2 linked regions of the Neodiprion lecontei genome follow. The main gene of each other region encodes a partner of the protein of the gene in region 2 in a complex. Links are inferred from orthologs where the notes say so. Each region holds a gene or a part of one and is shown on either strand. Other genes may lie near its edges.

What was found.
Region 1: ragulator complex protein LAMTOR1 (region 2) and ragulator complex protein LAMTOR4 homolog share a complex: the UniProt entries of both Homo sapiens proteins name them as parts of the ragulator complex. The link is inferred for Neodiprion lecontei from reciprocal best matches to the Homo sapiens genes LAMTOR1 and LAMTOR4.

What each region holds. Positions count from the first base shown.
Region 1 is NC_060264.1:23,151,523-23,154,897, forward strand, and holds ragulator complex protein LAMTOR4 homolog, read right to left. Parts: upstream 1,260-3,375; 5' UTR 1,031-1,259; coding exon 959-1,030; intron 882-958; coding exon 633-881; 3' UTR 535-632; downstream 1-534. Other genes in the region: GTP-binding protein YPT6, read right to left, coding at 53-232; isocitrate dehydrogenase [NADP] cytoplasmic, read left to right, coding at 2,195-2,395, 3,042-3,375. UniProt on the Homo sapiens protein: As part of the Ragulator complex it is involved in amino acid sensing and activation of mTORC1, a signaling complex promoting cell growth in response to growth factors, energy levels, and amino acids.
Region 2 is NC_060263.1:15,853,722-15,858,973, reverse strand, and holds ragulator complex protein LAMTOR1, read right to left. Parts: upstream 3,408-5,252; 5' UTR 3,227-3,407; coding exon of another isoform or gene 3,222-3,226; coding exon 3,171-3,221; intron 2,500-3,170; coding exon 2,423-2,499; intron 2,303-2,422; coding exon 2,213-2,302; intron 1,716-2,212; coding exon 1,517-1,715; intron 1,429-1,516; coding exon 1,339-1,428; 3' UTR 637-1,338; downstream 1-636. UniProt on the Homo sapiens protein: Key component of the Ragulator complex, a multiprotein complex involved in amino acid sensing and activation of mTORC1, a signaling complex promoting cell growth in response to growth factors, energy levels, and amino acids.

The DNA of each region.
Region 1 (3,375 bases), on a different chromosome or scaffold from region 2:
GCACTTGCACGCGTGAAAATAACTGAACGTAACAGGCAAATGTGCTACTTACGCGAATCGTTTTTTCGTCAATGGTGTACTGTTTGTTGATATTGTCCAGTCCCAAGGTCGATTTTCTATCATTGTTTGAGACGAAGGTATTGTTCGCGAATCGCCTAAATATCGAACTTTTCCCGACCCCGTATTCGCCACATAAAATCACCTTTTGTTCGGTTACCTTGATGGTGGCCATTTGTTTACATCTAAACAATACTACCGATCATTGTTTAACGGGTTATATTTCCCACGCGTATTATTACCGATTATAACTACACACATTTATGCATGCGTACATATGCATATTCGTGATAATTAAAAAATATTCGCGCAGATTGCAGCATCTTTGTTCAGTCATAGACGTTTTGCTAAGCTCATAGATGGCGCAGACTGCCTAAAAACCGAAGAATCACCCTCGGTGTCCAACTACATCTATAATTAGTCGATTAGGTGCAATGAACAGAACCACTAGCAAAAAAGCTAGGAAACTTGCTACCGTTCACATTTGCGATCTTTGCTTTATTACATGTCTCATTTTTATATTTCAACTTAACATATGTTCCTTGTAATTATTTCGATAAGCAATATTTGACTCATCAAGCAATCACTGGCAGGTGCTGCTGCTGCTGTTCTTGAGATGAGGTCAACGCGGTTATCTTCTTCTTAACAATGTGAACCTTCTTGTTTGACAGGCATATGACGTAGCAGTGATCTTCGTAGGTTATGGATATTTTGTTGAATGTTTCATCGGACGCAAACGCCTTGGGATCGATCGTGTCGGTCAGAGTGATCAGGCTCATGATAATGTTTGCAATTCTCTCGTCGTTTTCCAGCTCTCCACCCGACTGAAATGACAGCAGTGAAAAAAAAAAAACAAAAGTAAACAATGATGAAGCTCTCGACTTGTATCGCGTTGTCATACCGTGAGTACCGCCCCGTCCTCTTTTAATACCAAATAACCGATTTGCTCAGGTATTCTCTCCATCGACAACATCTTCAAATAACCTAGCGGATGTTTGTATATTGCAGAATGGTAAAATTTAACGTAAGCACTGGGGAGCCGAGTATCAAAATTGTCCTTGCGAGGAAGTGTCACCTGTCAACACACAAAACCTGTGGTTTGACGTGTGGCGATAGTCTAAAATACAACGCGGTAGCCAGCGCGATGCAGCGCGATGTATTTTTCTGCTCTTGTTTTCTGCCTGCTTAGACTTCAATGTAGCCAACTGACAAAACTTGGAAATCTGGAGATATCATTTATCGTTTGTTCACCGTGGCGCTGTAATCCACTCTCCTGTAGTTTGGTCTCAAATTTACTCTCTAGCTCCTCTAGCTAATGAGTGCTGAAAATGGCCGAACTCTGTGAAGTTCGCGGTATGATTTTCTGTAGTAAACCACTGAGTTTACATCACTGATCTCTAGCATACAAGTAGAGGTCAGTGGTTTACAAATGAGACATAAATATCATTACATATCAGTGTAGCAAATGTCGTAGTTTCATCCTTGTTTTGACTTTGAAAATAAATATCTCATTTATTCTGAGGCATTAACAAGACGTTATTATCACGCATGACACTCACAGAAATTGCTAATTCAGCCCGCCTTTTAAATAACACCACACAGTACCTTTAATGCATGTGCAGTACATATTTCGGATATTTCGGGGCAAAATGAAAAAATATTGCGAACCGTAATTATGTAGATAGCCTGGAGGGCAGCTGTTATTAGTCCGATATTTTATGGCGGATGCCACCGCTGTTACATTGCCTCTCGGGCTTCGGCCGATTGACTCGACGGCTGGCCGCTCTAGGCGGCAATCGATTGCGTAACCAACTCCCGTTAAAAGAATGGCGCGTGTCAGCAATACTGTTAACGTCTAGAATTCGCTATCAATTTTATGTAGGGGTGGCATCAATTGACCCGTCAATGACAATAAACCGTTGGTTTATTGTACTCTTCGGACCCGGGGAGCGCGTCCAAAGGTCCCTGGGGTACACAACTTTCCGCGAGAGATAACACATCTCGGGAACCCGGTCGACGGGACCAGTGACGGTGCAACTCTAGGATCGTTCGATACGCGGTACGCAACCCGTTCCGTACACGTACTCATCCTATCCCCTAGTCGTATAATCCGGTAATAATAACAATAACAGGCGCCATGTTCCGTTCCTTGACTCGCCTGTTAGGACCGAGTGCCGCCGTGGACAGTGCGGCTCGATTACTTCGCTGCAGTACGTCGTCCGTCGCTCTGCTCGACCGAAACTCCTCATTCGACGCATCGCGCAGACGAAACCTTACGTGGACGACACAGACATCGAAAAACTTCAGCTCCACGTCAATCGCTATGGCTAAGATCAAGGTATCTATGAATGTACATATCTCACCCTGATCCATCACGCTCCCCCGAGGCGTCGCCCTGTTAGCCGATTCATCTTCCTGCAGTTTAAAAAACATTCGAGTCTCATACGGCCGGTCGCGATCGTCGCGTATCCGTTTTAAACAGTTTCTATACTAATGCCGCGACTGAGAGAAGGCACTTCAAATCACGAGACACTTGCGATTCACCTTTCGGGGAACTTTATTGTTCGCAGCGTTCGTGTTCCGAAGTATTCCGTATTTATTGCATGATTAGAACCCCGTTCCAAACCACCTTGGATGATAGTGCACATTATGGTGCACAGTGCAGAGGTCGATCCCCTCTCCTCCCCCCCACATTTAGTCGACCCATCGTTTGCCGTGGAATGTCGATGGTTTCACTTAAATAGAAAACAAGCTCGAGGTCGAGTGAAAGCTAATAAGTTTCGAATGATAAGGTTCCTACTACAATGTGGATATCACAGCGATCATTATCTCACGCGATATAAGCCGTAATAATCAATTGATTGATAGTTTGATTATTTCTCGGAATTTCCGTTCATGATTAGATTGTACAATGAAATTGTTGTAAATAAGATGTTCAGCAGTTTCTTATGAAAATACTTAAAGAAACAGCATTTTTCCAACAGGCTGGACCCGTCGTTGACATTCTTGGAGATGAGATGACTCGTATCATCTGGGACTCTATCAAGAACAAATTGATACTCCCGTTCCTGGATATTGAGTTGCACATTTATGATCTGGGTATGGAGAACCGGGACGCAACTAATGACCAGGTGACGGTGGACTGCGCGGAGGCTGTAAAGAAATATAACGTGGGCATAAAGTGTGCGACGATAACTCCGGACGAAAATCGAGTCAAGGAGTTCAAGTTGAAACAGATGTGGAAGAGCCCCAACGGCACTATCAGGAATATACTGGGCGGCACTGTCTTCAGGGAAGCTATAATCTGCAAGAATATTC
Region 2 (5,252 bases):
TCAACAGGTCGCTATATTAATTTTTATTTCCCATTTACTTAACATGGGAAAATTACACTCTTCGTTAAAAGTTATAATACTCGTAAACTATTCGATATTTTTTAAATTCATGTATAGATCGTTGCAGCTGATTTTACGAGCTTTTCAAACCGCTATAACATATCATAGTCATCATCATTAGAATTCACATTACAGTCATCTGAAAACTACCAATTTTTACCGCAAAGAGAATCACCTTCAAGATTCTATCTATGCATGGATTTCAAAAATATTGAATAGTTTACGAATATTTTAATTTTTAACGAAAAGTGAAATTTTCTCATGTTGAATGAAAGGGAAATTAAAATTAAAGTAGTGACCTGTTAGACTGAGCTCAAGAGCTAATCTTTCGAGATCTTTTTTTCTATCAAACACCAACATTAGAAGGGGGTAAAAGCGAATAAAATTTTATTTTTTTCAACCACCCTAGTGAGTAGTCGTCTTGTTATCCTCTTCTGATAACTTCTCATATTTATTTATTTATTTATTTATTTATTTATGTTAACGCAACTGCAAGCGAATTCTTTATATCTATAGGTAGTTTGACGCTACCCTAAAACCTCGAACTATTGTTAATGAACAAAGATACCATTTGTATTACAAATGAAACATATTTTTTATTACATCATATTCACATGAAAAGCCTTTTTTTAACGCCATGGGTATTCAACATTTTGTATTTGTCATTCAACAAAATACATTGTCCAATCAAGCCTGCGCTAGCGTCTCACTGTTCCCGTCAGCCGATTTGTACAATATGATAAGCATAATATGCAACCTTGTCATCCACAAAAAGTGGGATTTTTAAACATAGTTCAAAAGAATTTCATAACGCTGGTTTATTAACACGTCCGAGTAATACTTTAAAACGTTACGAGAGAAAACCGTTATTTACAATCATTTAAAACTACGGTTTTCATAGAATCGATTCGCGAGTGATTACACGATAAACAATATTTAGCAATGCAACGGTGATACACTAAAAAAAATGAAAAAAAAAAAGTTAGAACCAGTTAATAATAAAAATTGGGGGATATATCTAGTATCGAGAGTTTCTGACAAGCATAGAATAGCATGACCTAAATTAATATATGTTTCCATTGCTGCTAAGTATAAAGCTCAAAATTGAATTGCAATAAAGATTTTGTGGCGAACAAGTAGAGTATCTATACCTTTGATCTGTAACAAGAATTAAATGTCTTAACGAGTAGAAAATTTGATTTTCTTCTTACAGCTGTTATAAATGTCATTAGACATATTAAAATTTTAGGCTCAAGCTTCCATCTGATTGAAATGCAGTCACGACAGGAAGGGTACGACTAAATCTTCTTTATGTTCCACCTGTATCTCGCTCAACGCGGTTACCGCACTGTTCATCATATCTGTAACCTGTGAAAATATTTAGATAAGCAATGAAATCATAGAAATTTCACTACTTCATCATTTCTATTTCATATTAGTGGAAGTTATTATTTACCATTTCTCGATCCTGTTGGGGCAGCCCTTCCCCAGCCAATACTCTTTCGGGCGCTGGTATATCTTTTAATAGACATGGCGGATGGTCAGGTATTTGAACACCGATAACTTCTATTCTTTTGGCATATGCTTTTGACCTATCCATGTATTCGTGCTGTTCCAAATTGTGCGAGTCGAGAGCACCGACATCGATCACATTGCTGATAAAGGAGATGAAAATTAGAGGTGGCAAAATCGAGCCGAATTTTTTATTGAATGTAACTTTGTCAAATGATTCTTATAACATTTGTCTGTTATTTTTACTGCTTCAAACAAGTTACAGAGAATTAAATTAACGGTCAGCAAAGTATTTACAAAATAGGTATAATTTAGAAAATTATTAAACCTCGAGTTGAAAAGTTGATGGAGAAGCCAATTCCGAGGCTCAATCTGTAGAAGCTAGGCTACCATGCTATGTTAGTATAAAACAGAACTTGAAATGCACAAAGAAAAACAGAAATCGTGAAATTCTAAAGCATTACTCAAAGGTATAGTAAGCTTGTCCTAGAGACAATTTAAATATAAACTTGGTACTAAGCCAACGTGCAGCAGCAGCATGCATTCGATGCAGAGAACTAAGAAGGTATAGCTCAAGTTTCGTAAACAGCAAAATAAATAGGATACAAATTCAAAAAAAAAATAAATAAAAAATACTCACGCGGCAGTTTCCTGCAAGATTCGGTTCAGTGCGCTTTGTTCATCAGTCTTCTTTGGGACAGGGTTCGCATATGGATTAACATAATCGTCACTGGAAAGTAATAAAATAAGAAGCAAAAAAGCATTTGATATTATATAAGTGACAGTCACTATAATAAAAAGAATGGAACACAAATACTTTTTACGCATGCTTTAAAGTCTGATCAATCACCTGTGAGCTGTTGGGATATTTGGTGTATTGCTGACCGGATTTACCAGCAAACGTGTTCTCTCGTTAGCTGCGTCACCCTGAAAATACAAGTCAGTCGAATTAAGATACAGGTTAGGAACTTAGAAGTAATTAGTCTACTCAGTCTTAATCTACTGTTGTGAGAGAAATGTTGGTGAAAGCATTTCAAGTCAATTAATGAGTTTCAATAAATGATAATTATTACAGCAGTATCAGTAGATCAAAGTTATCTGGGTAGGTTATCGCGAAATAAGGTAAATAAAAATACCACAGGGGGGCAGAAATAATGGTAAACTCGCCAGATATTGTAGTTAATAATAATGATGACATCGCACTTGGAAATCGTTCGTGTGTCCGTGGCTTTACTTGTTACTATAATTTTTATATTTTTCATCTCCTAGATGATGTGCGTCATTGTAGATATGCAAAAATGGAATGTTAAATGGTTATTTTTTCGCCGAACGAGAAGTGGCATCAAATTAACATTTCAGAGCTGTCAAAGTCGTTTATGTCAATGGAAAAATACAGCGTATAAATAAAAATACAATCGTGGCGACGAAATGCCTACACAAAATTTGTACCTTTACGATTGATGATGATCGAGACTAGTTTGATAAGTGTCTTTACTGAAACTCACGTATCAATTCTAAAGTAGTAGACGTGAGAATGATGAGCAAAGGAGAAGAAATAAACTCAAAATAAAAGGCAAGGATTAGTCCAAGTACTTTACATCTGACATACCTGCGGCCCATTGTCTTCTTTGCAAAGGCTTGGGCAACATCCCATAGTGACTGTTGTTTCAACCACTTTATGTAAATAATAAGTCTAAACTGTGTCAAGTATATTTTTTATGACTTCGTATAATTATATGAACAAATATTCTATCATTGTTGTGCAACAACACGTAACCAATTACGCATTTGTCAGTAACTTCAATGTTTTTATAATCGTTCAGATTGCCGACGTCGTCGTACCGATGACCAGTTTCGCCCCCACTAAAACCTGGTAATACAAAATAGTCTAGACCAGTACCTCGAAAAGTAATCTGTGATCGTTTGTGTTTGATAGGTTTCTCTCTGTAGTGAGTACCCGAGGTTTGGGCCGTGTTCGAAAATTGACTGACAGTACTGTCAGCAATCTTTCATCTCTTTTGCGCTTCCAAGTTCGTAAATAGCTCCGACTCTGTCCTAGGGAATTTTCAGTACCGTCAGTCAATTTACGAACACGGCCTTGATAGGGTATGTTCATATCAGTGGTATGTTCCGATATACACTGCGAGCACTGTTCAGTGCTCTTACTGGGGAGAAATTCTAGGAAATCCTAGGGAAATATATGACGTCATAAATCGTTGCCATTTTTCTACTGTGAACACTGGTGCTTTCGAGGTAAGGTGCTCTCAGTGCTTTGATCACGTGATCAACAGCGTTCAGAAATTTAACAGCTTCCACTATTGATAATTATTATTATTGAATATTGTCATTTAAAAATATCGGCCGTTAAAAACAAAAATGGAAAATTTGAATAAATTGTGTTTATTACAATGTGAAACAAATATTATGTATGAAATGAAAGTAACGCCAAAAAATGTTGATCACAGTATACTGTACTGCGTTCCGTTTTAAGCACGTTTTAAGCAGTAACCAGTATAGCTAACTATACAGGAACGGCTTCGCAGTATACTAAATTGACGACACACCTTACAGTGCTCGCAGTGTATATCGAAACATACCCATAGTTAATAATTACGTTGTTATTATTAGAACAACACCGGCTAGGGAGTTCAGTGACATTAACCCCTCACAGTTGTATTTTGGGATTTATTTGAATTTTGCTTGTGCAGAATCGTTTGTTCGTCGTATGTTGGTGTTTATTAGCGTTTCTCCAACATTCAATAGTCCTCCAATTACCTGAAAAAATTGAAAAACATAGCCCTCCCCTAAGCCAGTCAAAAAAAATAAAATAAATAAGACGACTCTAGTTAGGCACCAATTCCGGGAGTTTGTTCAATCCCAGAACGTCTAACTTACGACAACTCCTCGTTAACTGTAAATTGCATTGAAATGCAATTACCCATGCTGGCAATCGTTTGTTGATCGTTTGGTGGTGTTGGATAGTGAAGTTTCGACATCTGATAGTGGATCGTTGATTCGTGAAAATTGAAACAATTGTAGTTAGGCAGTAGTCCCAGACGTTAATCTAGCCCTAGCGCATATAACCAAAAGCTGCTTCTCATTTATATGTATGTACTGATGTTTATTGATCATTTTTAGATGTTTCATAGGGAACGTTGACTGAGGATATGTAAAGACTGATAACGAGTTATTTTTCGTAACAGTTTGCTGAGTTTGACCGGGTTTGGAGGTATAGTAGTTTCACGTATTATCAACCAAGCAACTAACAACGCACGTAAGAGAAGTTCTTGAAAACAAACAACTATCACGTGCAAAACGTTGATAACATACAGTCGTCATCGTGAGATTGAAAAGTTGAGAAAATCCCGTACAAGAAATATATACGCCGAAATTACATAACGGAAAAATAAATATCAATCAAATACATGTTCGTGTATTGTTTATATTTACATGAATATATCAAATCTTTTACAGGCGATATTAGCATTTCTAAGACGCTCAATTTATTTTTTCAAAGTTTTTTACGTAGTCAACTTTGAGCGGCAAATATTTTGAAAAAATGTTGAAATACTTTATTTTTAGTTCCAATCATTTCAAGAAAGTGCTTATGCAGACTTTTTGTTTGCTTTGTTGAGCACTTTTAAAATTATGACTTGAAAAAATTCGATATCTCAAGTTTT